7 linked regions of the Mus musculus genome follow. The protein of the gene in region 4 interacts with the protein of the main gene of each other region in a pairwise test. Links are inferred from orthologs where the notes say so. Each region holds a gene or a part of one and is shown on either strand. Other genes may lie near its edges. The genes, in order: Dnajc7, Kif3a, Sh3bp5, Disc1, Sptbn1, Mpped1 and Myt1l.

Region 1 (3,500 bases), on a different chromosome or scaffold from region 4:
TAACACCAAGCTGGGTATAGCGGCAGCAGAGGACTGCCAACTTTCAGGCCAGCTTGAGCTACACACAAGACCCAAAATAACATCAAAAAGGTGGCAGGGGCTCATGCTGTAATCCTAGCACTTGAAGCCGAGGCTGACAGACGGCAGAGAGAGGTGATGTAACAGGTTACACACACTCCAAAAATGTAATGAGGGTTTCCGTCTCCCACCCTTATTTATAGCATCTACTCCATCAGAAGCAAGTTAATCAGATAAATATGGATTACTCAGCCCCAGTATTTATTTCCAGCTGACTTTTCTTTCATTAATTAGCACAGATCTGAGATACACTACCTGACATAGCCAACGGGAATATAAGCAAGCTGATTTTTGCTCCTTATTGAAAAGCCAAATAAAATTAAGAAATAAAGCAACTTAGCAAAAAATACTTTTAAGAGAGAAAAGGTCAAAGCCAAATTTGAATGACAATGTACTAGTCTAGACCGCTCTGTATTATCACAGCACAGAGGAGGGTAGGTTGTAGTCGCTTCTACTTTACCTTCCGGAAATCTCGCTTTTCAAAATCCACTTCTGCTATTTTCTCATACTCCATGACGGCATTGGCGTTCTTGAACTACACCATGGGAAAAAAATGAAGTTTAGGTTGAACAATCATAAAAGTCACTAAGACCCTGATGAATTCCTTCTTTCAAGAATATCACTGGAGCGGGGTATGGTGGTGCACACCTTTAATCCCAGCACTCAGGAGGTAGATCTCTTGAGTTTGAGGCCAGCCTGAACTACATAGTGAGTTCCAGAACAGCCAGGGCTATATAGTAAGACGGTCTCAACAACACAACTTTTTCAAACCACAGAAGCTGGGCATGGTGGCAAGCACCTTTAACCCTAACACAGAGAGAGACAGAGCAGGTCCATTCCTGTGAGTTTAGGGCCAGCCACAGCTACACAGCTACATAGTGAAACCCTATCTCGAAAAAGAAAGAAGGAAAAAAAGAATCACATCAAAGCAGCAGGCATGGTGCTACATGTCTGTAACGCCAGCACTCGGGGGAATAGCGAGGGCAAGGTTAACCTGGATTACACAGTGTATCAGATAGAGACCTGATCTAGAAACCCAGTAAAGGGGGTGTGTGGACTCATAGGGTAGGACACATGAGAGATGGCTCAGTGTTTAAGGGCTCTCGCTGCTCTTCCACAGTACTGAGTTTAGTCCTAGCACCAGCCTCAGGGGGATTTGATGCCCTCTTCTGGCTTCTGTAGACACAGGTATACAGGTGGCATGCGTGCATACAATATATAAACAAAATCAAGGTGAGGGAGATGACTCTGTGTGTAAACACTTGCCATACAAGTGTGACGACCTGAGATCAAATTCCATAACCCATGTTAAACCAGACATGGCAGTGTGTATATATAAACCCAGTGCTGCCAAGGCAAGATGGACTGGGAATAAGACTCTCCAGTAGCTGGAGTGTCAGTTAGCTGAGAGTGAGTATGGAGCAAGCAAGCAAGAGATCCTATCTTGCTGGTCAGTGTAATGTCCACTTGAGAAGCAAAGGGCAGCTTGCTCTATACATCCAGCTCCAGGGCATTCACAGACATGTGAGACTCTTGTCTCAAAGACAAAAAAACTAGAGAGACTGTTTTAAGCAAGACAGAACAGGAGACATGATCTTCCAGGCAATAACCCTGATCTCCAACATCACTGCCACAGCCAGTACAAGTCTGCCCTCATACAAACGAAAGCACAAGAGTACATATACACATAAATTTAAAAAACAAAACAAAAGGAGCCACAGTTGTGGTGCAAGCCTTTAATCCCAGCAGTCAGGAGGCAGGGGCAGGCAGGTCTTTGTGAGTTCGAGGTCAGCCTGGTGTACAGTACAAATTCCAGAACAGCCAGGGACACACTGAGAAACCCTGCCTCAAAAAACCAAACCCCCACTCCAAGGAAAATAAGAATTAAACATTTCCTTAAAAAGCTGGTGACGGGCTGGAGAGATGGCTCAGCAGTTAAGAGCACTGGCCGCTCTTTCAGAGGTCCTGGGTTCAATTCCCAGCAACTCACATGGCAGCTCACAGCTGTCTGTAACTCCAGTTCCAGAAGGTCTGATACTCTCATAGCAATACACATAAAATTAGTGACAAATAGACCCCTCCAATACCAAGACAGACGAGACCAGTTAGCCTGGGCTACATGGAGACCCATTTTTTGTTTTGTTTGGAGACAAGGTCTCATGTAGCCTGGGCTAGCTTAAACTTGTTATGTAGCTGCAGATGGTCTTGAACTTGTCCTTCAGTTTCCATTGTCTAAGTAATGGGATTCCAAAGTGTGCACTACCACAGAAGGCTTTACTGAGACGAGGGCCTCACGCACGCTAGGCCAGCACTGTCCAGTGAGGTGCATTTCCAGACTTGAAACCCTATCTTTTAAAAGAAAACAGAAAAGGTCAAGACCCAAGTTTCTTGTTTAATGTTGACTTCCTGTCAGGAAGACAGGAGACATAAAATATGGCCACCATAAGCCAGGGGTTGGGCAGTTTTGAGATGCTCACTCAGATGTGTCCAGGCACCTACTACAAAGGTGGAACTGAAAGACGTGTGCTACCAGCTTAAGCCACATCTGAGCATAGACCAGTTCTTTCTGACAAACCCAAGGTCTGAAACCGAGACTCAGAACATCTAGACTAATGTTCTGTAACTGAGCTACACCCTAGCTCTGACTTTATTCAAATGCTTTAATTTCGTTCCTTAGCTTCCTTCCTGAAGCATTATGCGTCTACCCAGTCATCTCTGAAGCTTTCCACTTTTTACATACTGAAAACTCATTTAACAGTTAAGGTAACAGTCGCAGAGACTATGAGATTTACCTAAAGTTGGCTAAGTGTGGCTGCTGGTGAAGTGAGACTGTCAGTCCTGCCTTATTGGTCACTCTTCTTTCCAGACCCACCGCACCACCACCTCTCATAGGAACAGATCAGACCTACCTCCTGCTGTGCCTGGGCATTTTTATGATCCAGTTCTAGGGCTCTTTGGAAACTACGACATGCCGCCATTGCATTCCCAAGTGAGAGGTGGCACTTGCCTTCTCGGAGGTGTCCCTAGAAGAAAGCACAGAGGGAGGAAAGAAATATGACTGCACAGGTCAACACAACAGCAAACAGCCGGGCGTGGTGGCGCACGCCTTTAATCCCAGCACTTGGGAGGCAGAGGCAGGAGGATTTCTGAGTTCAAGGCTAGCCTGGTTTACAGAGTGAGTTCCAGGACAACCAGGACTACACAGAGAAACTCTGTCTCGAAAAACAAAAAACAAAACAACAACAAAAAAAACAACCCCCCAAAAAAACCAAAAAACCAAAAAAACAGTCTACACACCAGCATGCAGTGAAAAGGCAGAACAATGCTCTCAGAGGGAGCACTTGATCTTGAGGGGACATTGTCACAATTAGGAGATGGTTGTGGCTGTCACAATGAAAAGAGGAAATGCTCCTAATGGTTAG
Region 2 (3,500 bases), on a different chromosome or scaffold from region 4:
GAAAACTGTGTTTTATATCTCTCGTGAACACAAAAATTTTGAATAATAATTTGGCAAATCAAATGTAACAATATTTGAAAAGAATAATAATTCATGACTAAGTGACAAAGCTGGCGTCACTTATAAAAACCTAGTGACAAACTTCAAAAGAACAAAACTGCATTTGAAAATACGTAATATTACATTCCTGCAAGAAAGGACAGACAGACAGATAAGCAAAACAAACACCTGTGAGCAAACTGAACTAGAAGGGAGGTGCTTCCTCAGTCTGGCTGAGAATGTGTGTGGGAACCTACAGCTAACATGAGATTCACAGTCAAAGCAGGAGCAGGGCACTTGCTCTCTCCAATTATGCTCTACATTTATTGAATTTTCTGGCCAGGGTTTCGGGCAACAAAAGTAAATTAAAGGCAAAAGACTGCAAAGAAAAGTAAAAGCTGTCTTTACTGGCAGACAATGTAATTATGCATGTAGAAAATCCTGGAGAATTTTTTTTTAAAGCATAAAGGTCTAGATTTTGATTTCCACCCGCTAACCTGGGGCAAACACAGAAATGTGACAAGAATTTTTAAGTTTAGCAAGGTTGCAGAAATGAGGTTGATATGAGACAGGACTTTGTGTCTTTGGGATGCTAATACCAAAATGATGGTAACAGATGCTGGGAAGGGAGCGGAGAAACTGGACCGCTTACGTTGCTGGTAGGAATGTGAAATGGTGATGTCACTGTGAAATATACGTTGGCAGTTCTTCAAAAGGTCAAAGAAAGTAAACCCATGACTCAGCAACTCCACTCCTAGGTGTATATGTTCAGAAAAGCTAAAAGCTTGTACAAGAATATGCTAAACATTACTCCTAATAGTTAGCTAGAAAGTAACAACAGCCCAAATGTTCAACAGATGAATGTACAAACAAAAAGTATCTATACACGGGAATACTATTTGGTGATGACATGAATGAATAAATGAATGAATGAATGAATGAGTGAATTGAATACTGATACACTCTACGTAAGAATGAGCACAGAAAACACTGTGCTTAATGAAAGAAGTCAGATAAAAGACTATGCGGAATGTGAGCCACTTTTATGAAATGCCAGAGCAGGAAACTCCAACAGAGCAGTGGTGTTGAGCGGACTGAAGTGACTGAAATTCAAATTCCCTCTTGGGTTGCTGGAAACAGTCTAACAACAGGAGGTGGTGGCAGTCTGTACCCCGTGATCCACTGGAAATATTAATCCTATACTGTAAACGATGAGTGGATTTATGTCACTTAAAATTTTAACTTAATAAAAATTATTTTAAAATCAAATGTACTTCTGTGTATTAATAACAATACTTAATTCCAATATAAAATTATGCAGAAAATTCTATTCATGACAAAATGCCAAGAAGTTGGCAAGAGAGATGGCTGAGTAGGTAAGACACTGAGTTTGATTCCAGGAAGGCAGGAATGACTCCCCCAAGTGTCTTCTGATTGCTACGTGAATACCATGCTGGGGCTCACATGTCCCCACATAAGGAATTTCTTAAGTTCGTAAGAATAATGTAAAACTATTAAAAGAAGTGAAAGAGTTTAAGCGAGCAAGACATAGTCATGGTAATGAAACGGAAGACTCAATACTCTCTGTCAATCGAGGATTTAAACACTATTTTATACTCAGAGATCTGCCTGCCTCTGCTCCCAAGTGCTGAAATCAAAGGCACAATGCTGGAGCAACTGGAGATACACACACACACACACACACACACACACTCTCTCTCTTACCATTTGACAATCCAGTTTCTAGGTAGCTATCCAAGACAAACTTTACATCTTTACAAAGGCATACAGCAGCATTATTTATCTAACAAAAATCTAGACTTCAATCCACTGGTAAATGGGCAGTGTGTTACACATATTCAATGGAATACAGTTCAGAAGTGGAGGCTAGAGAAGCAGGAAGGAGTTCAAGAGTTTAAGGATAGCCTCAACTACTAACAAATTTAAGGTTATTCAACCTGGAATATATGAGAACCTGACTCAATAAAGCAACACAATTTAGCAGTTAAAACACACACACATACACAAAAACTAGGTGCAGTGGCAAGCAACACAATTCAGCAGTTAAAACACACACACACACACACACACACACACACACACACACACACTCCCAGCACCTGGAGGCAAAGGCAGGAAGATAGGGAGACCTCTTGAGGTCAGCCTGATCTACAAAAGACAGCCAGAGCTACAGAGAGAAACCATCTTTAAAAAAACAAAACAAAACCAACCATCCAAAATAAAATAAAATAAGATAGGGGCTGGAGAGATGGCTCGGCAATTTAAAGCCTTTACACTTTTCCAGAGGACATAGATACAGTTCCTAGAACCCACATGGTGGCTCACAAATCCAAAGCCTTCTTATGACCTCGGAGGGCACCAGGCACGCACATGGTCCACATACTTACAGGCAAACACTTACTCATACACATATATAAGAATAAATACATCTTTTTTTTTTTCTCAAGTCACGAAGTTACTGATGAAGTCAGGTAAGTTCAAAACATTACACAAAGAGAAAGAAAACTGCTTTTTAAAAGGTAGCATTTTATGGGCTGGAGAGGTGGCTCAGTAGTTAAGAGCAGTGGCTGCTCTCTTGAGGCCCCAGGTTGGATTCTCAGCACCAGCACCTACATGGTGGCTCAAAACCCTGGAACTCCAGTCCCAGGACTGCCCACCCTCTCTGACCTCCACTGTAAGCATATGGAACAAGCACAGACCTACATGAAGGCAATATACTCCTACACATAAGATGGCATTTCGTGGCATCATTTAAATGCGTTTTCAAAAGGACAAAACTACAGTGACGCCATGGCAGGTCAATGGACGCAGGTGGGAGCTGCAAGAGGGTGGAAAGGAGCGCTGCAGGGTGATATTAGTGTTCTAGAACAGGACCTGGGTGAGGCCTCACAACCGTCTATGTTACCATAGCTCATCAAGCCATAGCTGCGATACGTAAACTACCGATTTTACCGGGCATTACTTATGCAACAATAAAAGCAAGCTGCACAGTCACTCACCATTGTAGCCTTCCAGAACAGAATCAATAATTGGTCTTGCAGTTAAGTTATACACATCAAGTTGTTTACTTTCTGGTCCAAAAACAGTATCGAAAGTAAATGTCTTTGGAGGTTCGTTGGAGGAATCGGTCTTATGGACGGTGATAGTTCCCCTCATTTCATCCACGCTGACGGCCTGTCTATAGCACATTGACTTCTCTCTCTCATTGAGAGGCCGGCACCTAACCACCACCTTCACATTATCGCAGCTTTCCGGCTTCTCCGACTTATTGATCTGGTGGAGACAGTGTTTACAAAGAGTGAGAAGAACATTCCTTTTGCTCTAAATATAGTTAGAAAAGTCTACTTTTCCACCTCAGCATCCCGGATGTGCTAAGACTTTACAAGCCTTCGATAAATGCAATTAAAGATCTCTACATATACAGAAAGGGTTTATAGGTA
Region 3 (3,500 bases), on a different chromosome or scaffold from region 4:
ACCTTTACAGGAGGGTTTCATGCTGCCTAGAAACCTGTCTCTATTCTTGTGGGGGAGCCAAAGGACATCCAGCATGTGGCTTGGGTCCCCACCACCAGCGCACACAGGTCCCGCCTACCCTCTGAGTAGCATGGTTCAGCATTTCCTGCCAAGCAGAGTCAAACTGCCGCTTGTCATCCTCCAACAGCCGCTGCTCAGCCAGAGAGATTGTTTCCTTGGCTGCACGGAGTACCTCGGTGGCCCTCTGGAAGTCCTGTGTGGCCTTCTGCGCCTCCAGCTGAGCCTGTTGAGAGAGAAGGTCTAGTAAGGCCTGAGGCAAAGGCCAGGACTCCCTGAGGTCCATTGCTCCCACCCCCCGAGATGAGTGGCCCGAGATCTGACCTATCCATCTCTGCCTCCCTCTTGGACAGGCTGCATGGGACAGGTCCCTCATATGTGGGACGGGATAGCAGGTGGCCAGTGGCTGAGTGAATACCAGGTCGGTGGGCAGACAGTCTCCAGTCTGGAGCTCAACAGATAATCAGATGCATGGATCTTGCATCTGTGATGGCAATGGCTAATTAAGCCTTTCCCCAAAGTCCTGGCTTAGGACTGATGCCCAGATAGGCACAGCAGTCCTGGGCATCTTCCCTGCACGCCACAGCCCAAAGTGCTCCAGAGACCACAGTTGTAGGGCTCCGCTCTACAGATGAGGCACAGTAATTGAAAACAGCTTTTCCCGAGACTCCAAAGCTGATCAGAAGCAAGGCTCCAGGCAAATGCCCCACAGCACGAGTGCCAGCCTAGCACGTCCACTGCCAGACAGCCCCCTCAGTCCACATATACACCCAGGCCCAGGCCTACTGAGAGCACAAGCCCTGCTTTCAGGAAGGAAGAGGCAATACAAACAGCAGCCCAAACAGCAGCCGCCAACGCATGTGTCTGCATGTAGACATGTGCACATGGGGAAATCTGACGTTAATGCTGGAGACCACTCCTCAGGAGCCTTGTTTTCTGTGACAAGGTTTCTCACTGGCGGGAAGTCCCCTGTTAGGCTAGGCTGCTGCCAGAGAGCCCCAGGATCCAGCCACCTCTCCGGCTCTGGGATTCCTGCCTGGCTTCCTTCCGCAGGTTCTGGGGATGCTTGCACAGCCAGCACTGTACTGATTAAACAATCTCAGGCCAGCACGTAACCCCTGAGCATCTAAATGTGATTAACAAGAAAATGCAAACATCTCTCACAGCCCAGAGAGAGCTCAGAAGTTGCTGTGCTTGCTACACGAGCAGGAGGACCGGAGGCTCAGATCCCCAAAACTCACATAAATGCCAGGGAGGTGTGGCAGCTGCCACAGCTCAGGAAATAAGGACAGGAGGTTATTGAAGCAAGCTGGTTAGAAAGACTAGCTGACTCTTAGAGTCCTGGGCTTGACTGAGAGACCCTGCCTCAAAACCTGAAGTAGACGATTCCTGATACCCACTCACACACAAGCACGTACACACACATATTCATGAGTACCTACCTGCTCACACATGTGCCACACATGTGAATATGCACACATGCACAATACACACACACACCTCATTTTAAAGACTCAGTAGAAAAATGTTGATTATCCCATTAGCCATTTTTTTGATCAATGATGAGATACACTAAACTAAATCCAATAGACTGAAATTAATTTCCGCTGTTTGTTTCCTCATAGGTGACTCTCTACTACTTTAGGGCTGTTGATGTTCGTCCCTCAAGAGTGGGCTATGTCATGTGACTGCATGAGACACAGGGCTGGGGAGATGGCTTGGTAGGAAAAGCGCTTGCTGTGCAGGCGTGAAGACCTAAGTTCAGGGCCCCAGAATCCATGTAAAACCAGACCCAGTAGCACGCATCCGAAACCCAGTGCTCCAGGGTCAGAGGGGAAATGGCGGAGACAGCAGAATCCCCCCAGATGCTCACAGACCAGGTCAACTGGTGTGGTGAATGCAGAGGCAAACAAGACCCTATCTCAAACAAGGTATTCAGTGAGGACCCCTGGAGTGCATCCTCTGGTGTCCACACTCACACTGAAGCACACACTCCCCTGAAAGCAGTCACTGCTGGCCCCTCTCTCCTCCAGCTCACCTCCAAATTCCCACCTGGGTAGGGGCAGGACATGGCTCCTGCTAATCTGCCCCAGACCACTTCCAGAGTCAACAGGGTCCCTGGGCCAATTACAGAAGCCCTAATGGGACAGCCCCAGGACAGTCCCTGGGACTTAGGAGGGGAACAAGCGGACCCCACCCTTCCCCAGAGAAAGCCTCACATGACTTAGAGGAAATTTTCACATAGACTGAGGGCATTTTGCAAAGAAAATTAAGAGGAACAGCTGAGAATATAGCAGCCCTGGGGGAAGAAACAGCCCGGTAACCCATGGTAACCCACAACGGGCATCCGCTTGTCTGGTCTGTGCACACCCACAGCCCAGAGAGATCCATTCTGGGGACTGCGCCCCACATGTAGATGATGTGTAGAAATCTATGCTTCAAGATTGGGTCAGGGCAGGAGAATGGAACTTGCTTCACATAAGAGGAAACTGCGGGAGGTTTTCCTAAAGAGAGGCCTGAAGGGCAGGCAGGAGCTCCAACTCAGGGCTGATGGAGGTCAGGGGAGCACTTAAGACTCTGAAGGGTCTGTAGGAGATCTGATAATGCCCGGAAAGGAGCATTTTAAAAAGCCAGCCTGGGCTGTACATCAAGATCCTGTCTCAAAAAAATTAATAACAATAACAGTAATAGAAGCCTAAATGAATGCCCACCTACCAGCCATCTACATCCCCTGAGGTAGCCTGAAGCACATATAGGGGTGGGGATGCACACCCTCTCTAGAACCAACCAGCCACTGAGAAGTAACTGTACCACGCTGACAACTGCACTCTTTCCCCAAGCTGAGCCTCCTGCCCATCTTACTTCTCCAGACAGGCAAGAAGGGAGATCTGGGCAGGCTTAAGGAAGGTGAATTGTGACCCATCCCCCTATCTCAGTATACCCACAACCTTCCCACAGCTCTGACACAGGGACTCACCCCCTGAGACCCAACATTTTCTAAAATGGGATCTCTCTGCCCCTTCTTCCGTTATCCATCCATCTACCTATTTATCTATCTATTTATATCTATCGCTCTATCTGTCTGTCTATCTATCTATCTAATTTTTTTTTAAATCTTCTTTGAGGCTTTGAGGTTGGGCTCAAACTCAAGCAAATCCTCCTGCCTCACCCTTCTGAAGTCTGGGATTACAAAGATGAGTCGAACCACTTAATTTTCCTTTAAGGTTTCATTAGACAGCATTGGCTGGACTGGAACTTGGTTTATAGAGTAGGCTGGATTTGAACTTGCCATAATCCTCCTGTCTCTACTTCCCATCTACACCCGGCCTTGTGGGTTTTTTGCTGTTGTTGTTTGTAGCAAGTATGGTGGTATGTGTGCACAAATTTTTTCATTTGTATAGTATGGACACACGTGTGTAGAAGCCTGAGGTTGACAATAGGTG
Region 4 (4,300 bases):
GATAGATAGATACATAGATAGATACATAGATAGATAGATAGATAGATGATTGATAGATAGGTAGGTAGATAATTGATAGAAGATAGACAGACAGATTGATGGATAAATGATAGATAGGTAATAGATGATTGATAGATGCTGAAGATAGATGATAGAGACAGAAGATATACAGATAGATGATTGATAGATAGAAGATAGATAGATAGATAGATAGATGATAGATAGATAGATAGATAGATGATTGATAGATAGGTAGGTAGGTAGATAATTGATAGATGATAGATAGACAGACAGATAGGTTGATGGATAGATGATAGATAGATAAATAGATAGATAGATGATTGATAGATTGATAGATAGGTAGGTAGATAATTGATAGAAGATAGATAGACAGATTGATAGATAAATGATAGATAGGTAATAAATGATTGATAGATAGATGCTGAAGATAGGTGATAGAGACAGAAGATATACAGATAGATGATTGATAGATAGGTAGGTAGATGATAGATAGATAGATGATAGATAGATAGATAGATAGATAGATGATAGATAGATGATAGATAGATGATAGATAGATAGATAGATGATAGATAGATAGATAGATACATAGACAGATACATAGATAGATAGATAGATAGATGATTGATAGATAGGTAGGTAGATAATTGATAGAAGATAGACAGACAGATTGATGGATAAATGATAGATAGGTAATAGATGATTGATAGATGCTGAAGATAGATGATAGAGACAGAAGATATACAGATAGATGATTGATAGATAGAAGATAGATAGATAGATAGATAGATAGATGATAGATAGATAGATAGATAGATAGATAGATAGATAGATAGATAGATAGATAGATAGATAGATGAAGATAGGTATAAACGGCAGAAACAGAAGACCAGGTATTACCTTTGACCAGGCAAAGGTCCACGCTCAGCCTGGGCTCCACCTGACACCTTCCCTTCAGCCTGTAATTGGAGACACCTGCATCTGACTTTGAGCCCCAGTCCCTGTTTAACCACCAGGGCCACAGGCAGGTGACTCCAACCCTTGCCACATCCAAGGGAAGATGAGGATGGTAGCACCAGCCCCTCACCGGTGTGAGGGGGACCTCATCAAAGGGCAGGACCAAGTGCCTGGCCCATGCACTCTCTGCAAAGTGGCACCTGTCGCCTGTAGGCTGTCACCTGCCCCAGTTCCAGATGTTCTGCTCTCCATCCCAGGGCAGCACTCTCAGGGCTAAGGTAATAATTACAGCCCAGGTGCTTTCTCTTTCTTATAAACAGAAGAGAAAGCCCGAGACTTGGAGAGACAGCTCAGAAAGCAGGTTTCTCATCCAGGGCTCTATTTGCTGTGGGCAGAATCCTGGCTAAACCTCAACGGTCTCCATGTCAGGTGCCAAATGTCTTTTCAAATACCCTGTAACTCAGACACTAACATGTCACACTGGCATTCCTGTATTGCCCACGATTATTTAGGTCTTGCATGGTCAAAATAATACTTAAGGACCCGTGCGTAGTGGAGCACACCTGTAATCCCAGCACTTGGGAGGCAAAGGCTAGCAAATTGGAGGCCAGCCTGGGCTAGGCAGCAGATTTAAGGCTAGCCTGGGCAACTAAGAGATTTTTGAGAATTTGCTTTGTATCGCAGAGATTTGGCCAGGGGTTTCATGTCCTCCTACCACATTAAACCCCTTTTAAAATCTACCACGTAGGCAGGAAAATCAGCTCCATTTTACAAATTGAAAAACTAAGGCATTCCCGAGTCCAGGATGCGGGTGCAGAAGACTCTTACCCTACACCCACCTACCAACCCTGTATTTTCCAACTCCCAATTGCAAAAATGTCTTCATAGAAGCCAGTTAAGGAGGTAGGGAAGCTAGTGATTAGTGCTCCTTTCACAGATGGGTAAACTGAGGCTCCAAGAGCCAAAAGAAGCTCCTAAGTCCTTTGCCTTCTCTCCTTGGCACAGCACACGCCCAAACTGCAAAGCCCAGTCTGGAGCAGATCTCCGTGCTTGTTTTATTTTTCATTGTTCTGATTTGATTTTGGTTTTTGAGATAGAGTCTCACTATTGTAGCCCAGATTGTATTAGAAAGTCTCCACAGTCTTCCTGTCTCTCGAGTGCTAGGAAAAGAGGCGTGTGCCATCACGTTCTTTTCTTGGGGTTTCTGACAGTGAGTTGCTGAGGTTGAAAAGCGGCCACCCACTTAACTCGATGTCATCACCGGGGTTGGTACGTGGCCCAAGCTGACAGAGGAAATGGAGCGGGTCCCCTCAGCCTGCGCTGCCCTGCGCGTCACAGTCCACACTCGGAAGTGGGCGGCGAGCAGCCCCACGGGAGGTGCGGGCTGCAGTTCCCACACCTCTCTCAACCTCGCCCCGCGTCCCCGCAGCGTCTGCGCCGGCCACCCGAGGGAGTCCTGGGATCGAGCTGCACTTGGGCGCTGCGGAAACCTTCGCGGCCACCGGGACCTCGCAAGGAAGGAGTGCGGGCGCGCCCTTCGCCGACTGCGCCTCAGGGCGGCCGGACTCTCGGGACGGGGACGCGCTTGGACGGGAGCTGCAGTGGGAGCTGGGGACACGACCGCCCGCACCCTGCACTCCCCGCTCACTGCCTCGATTTCCCTCCCCTGCATCAGGGTGCGCCCGGATCTCGGCAGGCCTCGTTCGCCCTCCTCCAGAACCCCGGGCCCTACCTGCGCCGTGGCTCGGACTGTGGATCGGAGCGCCCCGGGGACCCCCGCCCTGCATCGTGCGGCCGGCTGCGCCCCGGACGGCGGTGACTGTGGTGGTGATGGTGGTAGCGGCGGCCGCGGAGGCGGCGGGAAACGGGCAGGGGGCCGAGCCGAGGGCTGGCTTCTTCCTCCTGCCCAGGACCGCCGCTTCCTCTCCAGCCTCGGCCCCTCGCTAGCGCGCGCGCGCCGCCCCTCGCGGCTCCCAGACCGCAGCGCAGAAAGTTTTGCTTTTCACTTGGAGGAAACCAAGGAGGGGAAGTGTGATGGGGCAGTGTGGCCAGGGACCGAAAGACTGGGCGCTTCCCAGACCCTGGGAGTAAAAGGCGGGGTGGTCAAGAGAGGGACTTCTTCCTACCAAGTCGCGGTGAAGCCGAAGGAAAGTGACAGATGACAGGTCGGGGGGGGTGGGAGCAGCTGTTAAAAATGACTTGAGAATCGAATCTCTGGCAGCACGGGGCTGGCCAGGAGCACGGCACAAGCCTTGGCTTGTGCCAAGCTCCTGGCAGCTGGCTCACCTCCCCCATCCCTTCCCTTTGGCTGCTTCAGCAAAGCACCTGCTACAGGACAGTGGGTACAGGAAGTGCCAGTCAGGGGTTAGGCCCGTCATAACCTCGCCTCTGGACCCCGAGGCAAAAATAAACCTACAAAACTGAACTGCATGGAGTCAGCCGGAGACCTGACTGTGGGTGGAGCATGGGGCAGTGGGAAGAAGCCTGGGAGAGTGCGTGCTGGAAGGGAGGAGCCTGTGGCCCTAGAAAAAAGACCAGGTGCTGGAAAGGTGGGCCAGAGCAGTTGCCTCTTACCAGGAACCTTCGGGTAAGCACGGGCGGATGCGGCTGAAGTTGATAAAGACATGAGCAGAGTCAGGATTTAGTGCAGTGGGTAGGGTAACAGGGTTGAAAAAGGCACTGTGTTGGTATCCTAGTTTGCTTTACCTGTCAGTGTGACATAGCCTAGGGTCCTGTGAGCAGAGAGCTTTAGTCCATGATTACCTAGATCAGATTGGCCCGTATCGCGTCTGTAAGAAAGGTCTGGACAGTTAACTGGCCTTCGAAGGCCCAGCCCACTGTGGGCGGCACCATTACCTAGGTTTCGAACTATCCAAGAAAGCTAAGTGAGCTGAAGCCCATCTACGAGCCAGCTGGCAAACAGCGTCCTCTGTGGTTCCTGCTATACCTGATTGGCAGTGAAGTGAGCTCTCCATTGGAGGTTAATGCTGTGTGCTATAGCAAGCAGGCCTGCCTTAGGTTCCTGCCTTGACTCCCCTCAGTGATGGCCTGCGATCGATCTGAAGTGGTCAGCTAAAACGAATGGAACGCCTCTCCTCCTCAGGAGGCACTCCGTAGTAAATACAGTTGAATTGGCCAGCCTGCCATAAACACTCTCAGGTCTACCTGACTCACTCCCGAGGATAACTAGGCATACCTCTGAATATATAACATAAACTGTCTTAAAACAGGGGCTGGAAAGCTGGCCCAACAGTTCAGAGCACATAGCATTCTTGCAGAGGATCAGAGTTCAGTTTCACAGCATCTATCCTGAGTAGCTCAC
Region 5 (4,053 bases), on a different chromosome or scaffold from region 4:
GATATGTGGTAAGTGTTTTTGTTGCCTTATTAAATAACACACGGATTTTTATGTCAGCACTGTAAAGAACAAACCAAACCAGACCTGGAGCAGTTCTAGTATTGGGCACTTCAGTAGAGGCTTATTTTAAAGGCCTAACAGTATAAGGTTCATTTCTCTTCAAGAATTTCCAGGATTTTAAAGAGAGGTATCCACTTCTGCTTCTTTTCTCTTAAAGGAAAACAGTTAATGGTTATTGTAATCTTACCATTTTGTAAAATGTTATCTCTGAGTTGAAAACAAGCATCTACTTGACTGTTCTGCTGCCTAGTGCCATTTAGTGCCATCTCCCTGAGAGCCACCAGCTTTTGCAGAGAACATCTCCAAAGGGCTCTGTGTTCTAACATAGCTATAGCCCAGTCACAGCTCAGTGCCCAAAGCCTCCCTCCAATCCCAACACACCAGTGCTTCCAACTAGAATTTGACAAGAGGCAAAAGGGAAGGGATGAGCAATGACGCTCAGCATACAGCAGTCAGGCTTCCTGCAATCTGGAAGACCACTACAGGGGGTAAGGCACTCACAGAAGGAGGCTAAAAAGAGACTTGTTTATTTACCTAAGTCTCTCTTGTTCTGGGGCCAATTTGCACCTTGTTTCCTTTCACAGATGGTTTATCTTCATGCAGAATATGCTAATCTCCCTTAAAAAGTTAACATAAAAGCCTTCTTTCTCTAATCTACAAATTATCTGCTCTGAACACACCAACCACACCTCTAGACAGACAGACCGCTGGGTAGCACTGCTACATTTTCTTCAAATATATTTTTTCTGATTGATCTTTTTTTTTTTTTTTTGTCAGTCAGGATTTTTCTGTGTAGCTCTGGCCATTCTAGAACTCACTCTGTAGACCTGGCTGGTCTGAAACTCAGACCTGCCTCTGTCACCTGAGTGCTGAGATTAAAGAAATGCACATCACTACCTGGCTGGCTGGCTTCCTTCCTTCCTGTCTGTCTGTCTTTATTTATTTTTAATTTGAAGGAAAGATTTGCACACATGACACGGCATGGTGTGGAGGTCAAAGAAAAACTGTTGTGACTCAATTCTCTCTTGACACTATGTGGGTCCCAGGGATCAAACTTGGGTTGGGAGGGCTGGTGGGCAATATTGCACCAGTCTTAAGCTGCCTCTTTTAAAGGCAATCATTTGTAAGTCTCCAGCTAGCCATGGCCTGCTATATAAATATCTGGGCCAAACAGAATTTCAATACCACACCCAATCTTACAGAAATTTGTACTAAAAGGAAACTGGGTTATTAAGTCAATTAAATTATAAATATAATTTTGCACTGAGGTTTCATTGAATCTACATTGCACCCAAGTCTGGTGTAAGACAAATTATGAAGGCGCAGTTACTAAGTGGAGGGCTCCAACAAATGAAGAATAACTGAGATACTGTCCTATAGCAGTTAGCACATGGCTTTGTTGAGCCTGCTTTGCATGAGACCAACCTCCACTTTCCCTGTCTCCCTCCATCCATCTCTCTTTCTCTTATTTGAGACAGTGTCTTACCACATCAATCTTAGCTGGCCTAAAACTTGCTAGGTAAACCAGGCTGGCCTCAAACTCACAAACATCTGCCTGCCTCTGTTTCCTGAGTGCTAGGATTAAAAGCATGGCCACCACACCTGGCCCCTGTCTGATATTTTACGATAATCCCTTTATTCTCCTTTAATTCTATCACATGCTGCTGCTGTTACTTGTTTTTGTATGGCAAGGATGAAATGAGGGCTCTGTCCATGTTGAACAACTGTGTTTTCTACTAGCAAACACATCTCTTTAATTCAGAGTACATGCATCTCTATTCTTGGCAAACAGAAATGACTTGACTAAAAATAATCATGAATTCAGGATTCTTTTCAAAGAATCCAATCAGCAGACACAGAATAAATGTTTAGCTCCCTTGTTTCCTGAATACTTTCTTGTGGGTTTCTAGTTCATGTGAATCATGTCAAAAGTACTGACAAACTTACAATTTAATAATCAAGGCACCTATTATAATAGACTTTGTATCGTAAACTAGAATATAATTGGAATAACTACTTAACATCTACCTGGCATGGTTTTTCTCTAGAAAATGAAACTGAATGGGAATGATCAGTGGCAAACCTACTCATTAACAGCATTAAATATGGCCTTCCCACAGGACACTGCTACTTTTCAGATCTAAAGCCCTTGTAACAAGGTACTTACCAACCTCTCACCGAAAAGATCAGCTAATCTGCCACTGGCATTACGTATACAGCCAAGTTGGATATTTTATATAAATATAGTATGTTAAAACACTTGAAATTAAAGATGTGTTAGAATTAAAAAATCCTTACAAACTCTTAGCAGCTCTTTCTAAATTGCTGTAAACATTATTTACTGTGTTCTAAACTATGTTGGTCATTAAGTTCGGCAGCTCTCCAAAAGTAAATGTCTTATAAAAGGGTAAGCAAGCTCTCATAGGATATGTTAAAGCAGGGAGAGGTCAACTTCAAGCAAGACAGCTTAAAAGAGAAATGGTTGATGTTCAAGGGACTACAGAACATCTGGTGACAGGTGGGACATACAACATCAGGACACTTACCTGCCAGGGCCTTGATGCGGGAGCGCTCAAAGAGCCTTGCAGAGCTGTTCTCATTGTCCCAGTCATCCACATCCCAGCGGTTGTTCACATCACTGTACTGCTGCTGGATCTCAATGTTGTCATAGTCTGTGGCTACCGTGGTCGTCATCTTGACTGTCTCAGCTGCTTGTCCACATCAGTTACTTTTCAGAGTTCTGTGAGTAAAAAAGGAAAAGCACAGGTGTGTATACAAAGTGTACATCCTCTATACACCTGCTGGGGTGATAATAAGGAAAAACTAGGACAGTCACTGCTTGTCCAGATGTGCCTTCTAGAGCCAAGGCCAGTTCTGAACTTTGGCTCTGCTTCATAGCACATGTGTGACCTCGGTCATGCTACTTTAATGCTTTCCCCAAACCCGGAGGAGGGAGAAGACTGAAGGAAACACTGGGTGCCAAATTAATGTTCTTTCCTAAAGGAGTTTAAAGTGTCTGGGCAGTGATGGTGCACACCTTTAATCCCAGTACTCAGGAGGCAGAGGCAGGCTGATCTCTATGTGTCTGAGGCCAGCCTGGAGTACAAGACAGCTATGGCTACACAGAGAAACCATGTCTTGAAAAAAACCAAAACAGAGCAAAATGAACCAAAAAAGTTTAAGGTGAAGGTTTAATGTTTTATCAGGGCTGTATCAGCATCTACATGGATCTTTTTAAGTGAATTCCCTTAGTTTTATTGTCTATTACCGTTTAGTTTTTCCTTCATAAGCTACTATATAAGAAAAACTAACAAATCATTCTGTCTCTATGTCTCATTTACATATTAGAATTGATGCCTAAGGTTAAGATGGAAGCATATGGCAACAAAGATAGTATCCATGCATAGTAAATACTCAATAGGTATTATAATTATTTATACCATTGTTACTATAAATTCTAGGACCAATACCAATAGTAATGCCCACTCCTTTAAAGCCCTTGAGGATAATGGTGGGTTTTTTTTTTTTTAAGGAATAACTATGAAATAAGCTCTGGCTCACTAAAGTCTTCACTTTATCAATGTATTCTTGGAGGATCAAGAGAAATATGTTTAGTTTTAAATACAGTTTCTCCATTCAATACAGCTATTACTCACATGCAGAACCCAACCATATTGAGGAATTACTACATGATCAGCAGTGCTCTAGATTCCTGGGGAGAACAATAAATGACACAAGTGTTACATCCTCATAGAAGGGAGACCAAAAACACACACACACAAAAGCCAGAGAGTTTAAGGAAAATAAAATACAAACAGATGAATTTGAAACTGGCTATTTTAGACTGGTCAGAAATAAATACTCTGCTTAGTGTAGGTCTCGGTGTCTAAAAGGTACAGATCATGGCCAGATCAAGAAGAATGGCACACCAGACAAAGGTACACCAAGGTATGCTCAGTATAGTTGGAGTCAGGTGTGCAGAGGGAAAGGTAA
Region 6 (3,500 bases), on a different chromosome or scaffold from region 4:
ACACCCTACTCATTTACTCTGCTCACCAGCCTGGGCTTCCGCTGGCACAGGTCTGCGGTCAAGAAGAAGGCAAGGCCTGGGGGAAGCCAGGACTAGAGAGGCCAGTCATGTCCACAGTGAAGGTCACACTGGGGCCACTGGTGGCCAGAGCTCCAAGCATCAGGACAGTGATTGAACTGGCAGCTGGGCTCACCCAAGCCTCACCCTCTTGGCTAGTTCAGTGATGGCTGATGAGCCGTTCCCTGGAGAGAGGAGTGCACACCTAGGGAGCCCTGACGCTGAGTTACTCAGCTCTCCTGAGCCTGGCTGCTGGGTGGTGTGTCTCCTCCATTCCCCTCGCCCTCCTTACTAGACCATGAAGGAAGGGCACACTAACAAAGCAGGTCTCCATCCTCTGAGCACTTATGGCAATGGCCATAGGCTCAGGGGAGCCCTCTGACACCTTATAGCCACCACTGGAGGAGGGCACACTGCCACCCCATTCTGTAAGAAAGTGGGCTAAGGCATAGGAAGGTCACCCAGTGATGCCCAGGGCAACACAGCCCACAAAATGTGAGGCTAAAATTAAGCTTAGGGTTTCTTGGTTTTGGGGGGGGGTTGTTTGTTTTGGTCTCTAAGCCATGCCTCTAACCTTTATAACCTTCTTTTTAAGGAGCTGTGTGTGTGTGTGTGTGTGTGTGGTGTGTATGGTGTATATGGTGTGTGTGTGTGTGTGTGTGTGTGTGTGTGTGTATAGGTATGTGTGTGATGTGTATATGGTTTGTGTGTGGTGTGTAGTGTGTGTGTGTGGTGTGTGTATGGTGTATATGGGGTGTGTGTGTGTGTGTGTGTGTGTGTTGGGGCAGGTTGTAAACCACAGGGAAAAGAGACCCAGTCTTGATTCTTGACCTCACACTCGGAACCTCCGCCTCTCATCCTGATGGCCCCACCCTATTTTGCCCCGCCCAGATTGTTCAGGCCTCAGGACCCAAGACTTTGCTCAAGGTGAGCTTCTCACACGAGCAGGCTTCAGATCAGCCTTTGCACCCTGTCAGGCAGCCTCAGCCTCCTTCTCACATCCTTGCCCTTGGTTTCGAGTCCCTCACATCGTTGAGTGTCCAAAAACCTTCAGAGGCAGCAGGAGAGCATGGAACCCTTGAGCATCACCACCCCAGGCAGAGACAGCAGGCTCCTCCTGGGGCAGAAGAATGAGTCAGGCTGGCCCCTCTCCCATCCCTGGGGCTTCATAAGATCCACACAGGCCCTATCCCCACCTCGGCCTCAAATCACCAGGGGACACCAAACACCACGGCCCAGGGTTCCCCAGATGTGTTGTGTTTTCTTAGCTCACCCAGAGCCCTCCACAGTGCCACTCCCTCCCTGCCCACGCCCATCTCCTCCCATGAGGCTGAGGTCATCCATCTTCTCTGGGGAGCTTCCTCTCACCCTGCCAGCACTTCACACCCTGTGACCACGCAAGGGCCAGTAGATCTGCCCACAGACTATTGACATGATGCCACAGGCGGCAGCAGAATCACCACCATCTTGTTCATTACCTGATCCTTATCACTACCACCAGCCTCACCGGCGACTGCCATCATCACCAACACCAGCAGCAGCAGCGTCACTGCCATCATCATCAATATCATCACCAACATAACCATCATCACTATCATCTACACCATTACCAACTTCATCGTCATCGTTATCATCACCATCATAAGCATCACACCAACATCATCATCACCATCACCACAGATCTCCACCATCACCATCGCTGTCCTCAGCAGCACTGTTATAGTCAGTTACCATTGCCAAGGACACAGTGACCATCACAAAGCAAGTCTGGACCCGTGGTCACTTCGAGCACCACCCAGCAGGGTGAGTTCAGAGCAATGGCCCAGTCAGCCACTGTCTCCAAGAGAATAAGGGTTCCCTGTGCATTTGTTTTTTAAACAGCTGCTGTCCCCATACAAGAAAGTGCCCCATGGGACCGTCTGATGGTCCCAGATGCCTTTCCTCAATTATGTGGATCAATTGTCTTTTCCAACAACCACATGCCTTTCTGTGGGAGGACAGAAGACAGGCAGAAAGGGAAGATTCCCTCGTGCTGGAGGCGCGTGTTTGAAAGAAAGCCCTGCAGCTGCAGCCCTCCCCTGCTGAGCTGTGCCATCTTGGAAGGTCCGTACTCTCTCCCAGCTCCATTTCTTTATCGTGAGTTGGAGACAATACCACCTGCCTGCATGTAAGACAACATATATATATATATATATATAAATGTAGAGAATATAGATGATATTACCCTTCCTTGATTACCCTTCCTTGGTTCCAGATGGGGAAACTGAGGCCCAGGGGGTGACAGTAGCCTGCCTGAGGTCAAACAGATGGTGAGAGTGACAAGACCAAGTCCCAGATCCTCCTGTTCTCATTGCACCAGCCCTGAGCCTCAACTTTGGGTCCCAATGCCCCTGTAGGAGACTGGAGTTGCCACCACCCGCTTGCCTCGCCCTAACAGCTGGTGAAGGTGGGGGCCGATCACACTCACCACGGGGAGCCGTAGATCCGGAAGCCACGCACCGTGACCTCTGAGTCCTGCAGGTAGATGCAGTTGGTCAGCAGAGACTGCACGTTCTCATAGTTCTCCGGCTTCAGCTTGGACACGGACGGGAAATAATAAAAGTCCTGCTTGATGAGGTCGGCCATGAACTCCTGGTCGAAGGTCAGCTCGTGGTTGCCCGCAATCACGATCTTGTACTCATAGGGCAGGCTGCCTGCGGGGTGGGCATGCACAGAGATGCTGGCGGCCCTTGTGGAAGCCACAGGGCCACCAAAGGGAGATAGCTGGGGACAATCACTGGAGTCCCTCGGCAGGGGTACCCCACTGCCCCATCCTGACCTCTGAATCGGAGAAGGCAGTGTCCCAATCATTTTCCAGGCTCAGCCTGCCTGGCCTTTACTGACCATCAGTCCTTGTGCACAGAGCAGCATCCTTCCAGGACCTAAGCTGCCTCAGTTTTCTCTGCTTCCCTCCCTTCTGTCTACCTCTGACTAGAAGAAAACCTCCCAGGGCCATCAGCCTCAGCTGCCACCAGTCTCTCAGCTTTCTCCACCTTAGGCTATCACTCCTCAGCCTACACGTGCAAGCTCTTGGTAGAACCCGGTTCAAACCTTCAGAAATGCTGCCCTCAGGGAAAACCCCAGTGCCCAGCAGCATCCGCATGGAATTTGCAGTCAATACAAGGTTCTGGAATGCCCAACCTTTTGCACACCATGGTCTGATGTCATCTGCAAGGTTCAGACCCAAGAACCACACAGCAGGTTACAAACAAACAAACAAACAAACAAACAAACAAACCCCAGGAGGCTAACAGCCTCAGAGTGACCAGCGGTGCCCACCTACGGGGCATCCTCCCCGTTGGCCCAGAAAAATGCCATTCACCCTGCCCTCATTCAGTGCCCAGATCCCACATTGCCCAGCCCTCTGCCTCGGTTGCTGCATGAAGGAAGCTGTAATGGCTCTG
Region 7 (3,500 bases), on a different chromosome or scaffold from region 4:
TCAGGCAGTGTTAGCAGGGTGAAAGACATCGTTTACTTGAACTAATTGAAGTACAGTCAGTGTTAAAATTATTTCACATAGAACAGAAGTTACTATATAGACTCAGTAAAAAGGAGGATATAGATGTGAACGTGACCCTAGCTGTATGAGTGATGGAAATGGACAGGTGCACGTAGGCGTTGCTGACAATTCAGTCGCCTGCTAGCCTTCTGCACTACCCCCTTGTCAGAATGCAGGCAGCATCTCCATGACTTACCTACTGGAAAAGTGCATGCTGCACCATATTCACACTCAAAGCTTCAAGATGATGGAAAGCGATCAAAGTTAGATAAGAAGAATGCAATCATTTTAAACATTTATTTTAGTAAATTGTTGCCAACAGATGTAGTGTTTTTGAGCAAATGAAATGCTAGGGCACAATACGACACATTCTTCCTGGACTGCAGCCCAAGTGCTTCTCTGTGTCTGCTGCCTGCCACAGACGGCCCCAGTGTCTGCATCTGTGTGGTGGGTATATAGCAGCATCCACAGGGAGGTAGGAAGCTAGGGGTCTGGTATACTTGGCCTGAGAAACAGTTGTCACGAGACAGGATGCAACAGAACATAGCTAAACTCCAAGAGACACCTGCTAGCTCTCCCCTAACTCTGCCCAGGAACCTAAGTAGGGACACTACACAGCACTGAGTGGCAACACCACGTCCCTGCTCTGATACAGCCCTACAGAGTGAGACCCTGTCTCGGAAAACCAAAAACAGCAACAACAAAAAACGAACAAAAGGGGATTTTTTCCCCTGGACCATTAGCTTGCCATCCCCACTTAAAAGAAAGAAAGAAAAAGAGAGAAAGAGAGAAAGAGAAAAGAAAAGAAAAAAATTTAAAAAGAGAGAGGAGAGGAGAGGAGAGGAAAGAGAAAAGAGAAGAGAAGAGGAGAGGAGAGGAGAGGAGAGGAGAGGAGAGGAGAGGAGAGGAGAGGAGAGGAGAGGAGAGGAGAGGAGAGGAGAGGAGAGGAGAGGAGAGGAGAGGAGAGGAGAGGAGAGAAGAGAAGAGAAGAGAAGAGAAGAGAAGAGAAGAGAAGAGAAGAGAAGAGAAGAGACAAGACCTTGTTGACTTGAGGAGGTAAATGCTGTAACACCAGCATTGTGACGTGGCAGGTAGATGCAGGAGGCTCTTCTATTCTAGACCGGCCCACACTATTTGGTGAGCTTTATCTCAGAAACCTCATATGTGGTATAGAGTTTTTCTACTGATTTCATGCTCTTATTTTTTATCAAAAAAAAAAAATGATGCAGAGTCATTAATGTGAGACCACATCCACAACATTTCAAAGCATTGCACATATAGTCCAGTGTCACCCACTGGGCCCATGTGCAGGCCTCTGCCTGGTCCCCTGTACTGTCCTCAGTCACTCAGGGGCTCATGGCTGCAGTTCTGTAATCATGCTAATGGAATTTAGAAAGAGAGAAGAGAGCAAGCAGGTGGCTCCCAGTACAGGAGTTGCCCTGTGCTACTCAGGTTGATCAGGTACCTGACTAACACTGTAGAATTACCAGTGTGTCCAAGTGGCTTCTTGTCCTCCAGGAGCTGTACTGAAACCGTCTGTGGTTCCTTAGAAGATACCGGGATGAAACAGTTGTTTGTGCATTTTGTTTCTGAGTGTAATGGCTGAAGTTAGAATGAGGTAGTCACTGTTGCCCCAGGATCTGATCATCATGGCCTTATCCGAAGTACCCTGAGTTTTATTAAAATGTTTTCCCAATACCGTATCTCCCCAAGTATGAAGCAGGCGACATTTAATCCAAACTCACATTACCAGTGAGGGTCATTTCACTCTTTAGTGTTTGGAAATAATTTCATAGTATGGGTTGCAAAACCTGTTAGTCACATGAGGTTTATGGTTCATTTTGTGTATTTCTTCCTCTTTGGGGGACAACTGCCAAAATCATAAAGACCCTCAGGTCATCAGCTAGGATCAGTGGCCAGTCTAAGGCCCCTCCCCTCAGTGCCTCTCTATTCCCTTAACAGTTCTCTTTAGATAATTCCTCACTCTGAGGAGGCTGGGCAGGGAGTCTCGTCTCTATGTGGAATATCTGGTCTTGGTGAAAATAAATATTCTGTGAGCTCAACTAGCTCTGCCTCTGTGTTAGTGTAAAGGACCCATGCTAATAAATCAGCCATGAAGGAGAGGCAGTGAAGCAGCTCTGAAGTTAACCCTTCCCCCAAATAGCTGCTGGTTGTATATGAGGGTGCTGCCATGAATGAATGCTAATCAAGGTATCTGTAAGGAAAGACACCCTGCAGGCAAATAAAGAGCTGCTCCAGGTACCCTCTGGTGTCCCATGCTCACCAGGGACAGGTCTCTGTCCTTGGGCACAGGGCAAGCTCATCCTTTCCTCTATCCAGAAGCCTGTCTAAAAATCACAGGACAGAGGTGTTTGGCTCACAATAGTTGGTATGCATGCACTGCCAGAAACTTACTTTACAAAGCCTGTAGTCCTCATAGCCTCAGTGGTGGTTCTTGGAGATCCTGAGGATCTGGGTCAACAACACAGGTTGATATCCACAGCCACATGTGGCTAGAAAGAGTGGTCAACCTCTTGATGTCGCAGTAGCCAAGTCCTGTCCTACCCAAGTGGGTAGATGCTGCAGCAGACATGAGTAGCCTGTCAAAACAAGGGTGATCCTCTCCCAAGGTCATCCTAATTATCTGTTCCTTCAAGCATGCACAGTGTGGAAGGGGACAGAATCTGGGCTCTTCATGAATAACCCTAATTTCTTTGTGTATAAAGATAGGTGGTCAGGACCAATTGTGTATCCTGCATCCTGGGTGCAGGGCCTAACCACACTGTCCTCTGTCTCTGCAGCCAAGCGGTACTGCAAGAATGCCAGCCCCAGCAGCAGCACCACCAGCAGCTATGCACCTAGCAGCAGCAGCAACCTCAGCTGTGGTGGTGGCAGCAGCGCCAGTAGCACGTGTAGCAAGAGCAGCTTTGACTACACACATGACATGGAGGCCGCACACATGGCAGCCACAGCCATTCTCAACCTGTCCACACGTTGTCGTGAAATGCCACAGAACCTGTCCACCAAGCCACAGGACCTGTGTACTGCCCGGGTATGCCCAGGGCCCCAGCCATGACCCATGGGAGCTGTCTATGAGTTCGTTCACTGCCAGCCCTATAGCCCTGTGCCTCAGAACAAAGAAAGGCCTTGGTCCCCTCCAGCCCTAACTTGTGCCTGGGACATTAGCACAGCCATCACCCATGGTCTTTATGGTGTCTCAGTTGAATAGTACACAAAACCAAAAAAGAGGTACAACTTGACATTTAAACAAGACAGTTTAGTGGCAGCATTTTTAGATAAATGTGAGGCTGTTCCTTCACCATGTGCCTAGTAGGTCTCACAGGTCAGAGAAGCCAAGAAGTGACATCCGATTGCACTCTTGATTGTCTGTGGTCTCAGCCAAAGCTGTTAGCTTGGAGGCGCCTTGGTGCTACAAGAGA

The links.
Region 1: the proteins of Disc1 (region 4) and Dnajc7 interact in binary tests that used the Homo sapiens proteins (3 or more experiments, as listed by UniProt). The link is inferred for Mus musculus from reciprocal best matches to the Homo sapiens genes DISC1 and DNAJC7.
Region 2: the proteins of Disc1 (region 4) and Kif3a interact in binary tests that used the Homo sapiens proteins (3 or more experiments, as listed by UniProt). The link is inferred for Mus musculus from reciprocal best matches to the Homo sapiens genes DISC1 and KIF3A.
Region 3: the proteins of Disc1 (region 4) and Sh3bp5 interact in a two-hybrid assay, tested with the Homo sapiens proteins (2 studies listed by BioGRID and IntAct). The link is inferred for Mus musculus from reciprocal best matches to the Homo sapiens genes DISC1 and SH3BP5.
Region 5: the proteins of Disc1 (region 4) and Sptbn1 interact in binary tests that used the Homo sapiens proteins (3 or more experiments, as listed by UniProt). The link is inferred for Mus musculus from reciprocal best matches to the Homo sapiens genes DISC1 and SPTBN1.
Region 6: the proteins of Disc1 (region 4) and Mpped1 interact in a two-hybrid assay, tested with the Homo sapiens proteins (2 studies listed by BioGRID and IntAct). The link is inferred for Mus musculus from reciprocal best matches to the Homo sapiens genes DISC1 and MPPED1.
Region 7: the proteins of Disc1 (region 4) and Myt1l interact in a two-hybrid assay, tested with the Homo sapiens proteins (2 studies listed by BioGRID and IntAct). The link is inferred for Mus musculus from reciprocal best matches to the Homo sapiens genes DISC1 and MYT1L.

What each region holds. Positions count from the first base shown.
Region 1 is NC_000077.6:100,595,628-100,599,127, forward strand, and holds part of Dnajc7 (dnaJ homolog subfamily C member 7), read right to left. Parts: intron 3,102-3,500; coding exon 2,988-3,101; intron 2,428-2,987; coding exon of another isoform or gene 2,353-2,427; exon of another isoform or gene 1,800-2,352; intron 614-1,799; coding exon 539-613; intron 1-538. UniProt on the Homo sapiens protein: Acts as a co-chaperone regulating the molecular chaperones HSP70 and HSP90 in folding of steroid receptors, such as the glucocorticoid receptor and the progesterone receptor.
Region 2 is NC_000077.6:53,570,369-53,573,868, reverse strand, and holds part of Kif3a (kinesin-like protein KIF3A), read right to left. Parts: intron 3,334-3,500; coding exon 3,060-3,333; intron 1-3,059. UniProt on the Homo sapiens protein: Microtubule-based anterograde translocator for membranous organelles. Plus end-directed microtubule sliding activity in vitro. Plays a role in primary cilia formation. Plays a role in centriole cohesion and subdistal appendage organization and function.
Region 3 is NC_000080.6:31,387,601-31,391,100, forward strand, and holds part of Sh3bp5 (SH3 domain-binding protein 5), read right to left. Parts: intron 284-3,500; coding exon 119-283; intron 1-118. UniProt on the Homo sapiens protein: Functions as a guanine nucleotide exchange factor (GEF) with specificity for RAB11A and RAB25. Inhibits the auto- and transphosphorylation activity of BTK. Plays a negative regulatory role in BTK-related cytoplasmic signaling in B-cells.
Region 4 is NC_000074.6:125,052,695-125,056,994, reverse strand, and holds the start of Disc1 (disrupted in schizophrenia 1 homolog), read right to left. Parts: upstream 2,801-4,300; 5' UTR 2,766-2,800; coding exon 2,711-2,765; intron 1-2,710. UniProt on the Homo sapiens protein: Involved in the regulation of multiple aspects of embryonic and adult neurogenesis. Required for neural progenitor proliferation in the ventrical/subventrical zone during embryonic brain development and in the adult dentate gyrus of the hippocampus.
Region 5 is NC_000077.6:30,216,973-30,221,025, forward strand, and holds the start of Sptbn1 (spectrin beta chain, non-erythrocytic 1), read right to left. Parts: upstream 2,801-4,053; 5' UTR 2,755-2,800; coding exon 2,607-2,754; intron 1-2,606. UniProt on the Homo sapiens protein: Fodrin, which seems to be involved in secretion, interacts with calmodulin in a calcium-dependent manner and is thus candidate for the calcium-dependent movement of the cytoskeleton at the membrane.
Region 6 is NC_000081.6:83,835,523-83,839,022, reverse strand, and holds part of Mpped1 (metallophosphoesterase domain-containing protein 1), read right to left. Parts: exon of another isoform or gene 2,761-3,500; intron 2,751-2,760; coding exon 2,525-2,750; exon of another isoform or gene 2,312-2,524; intron 2,225-2,311; exon of another isoform or gene 1,559-2,224; intron 1-1,558. UniProt on the Homo sapiens protein: May have metallophosphoesterase activity (in vitro).
Region 7 is NC_000078.6:29,846,384-29,849,883, forward strand, and holds part of Myt1l (myelin transcription factor 1-like protein), read left to right. Parts: intron 1-2,861; coding exon 2,862-3,112; intron 3,113-3,500. UniProt on the Homo sapiens protein: Transcription factor that plays a key role in neuronal differentiation by specifically repressing expression of non-neuronal genes during neuron differentiation.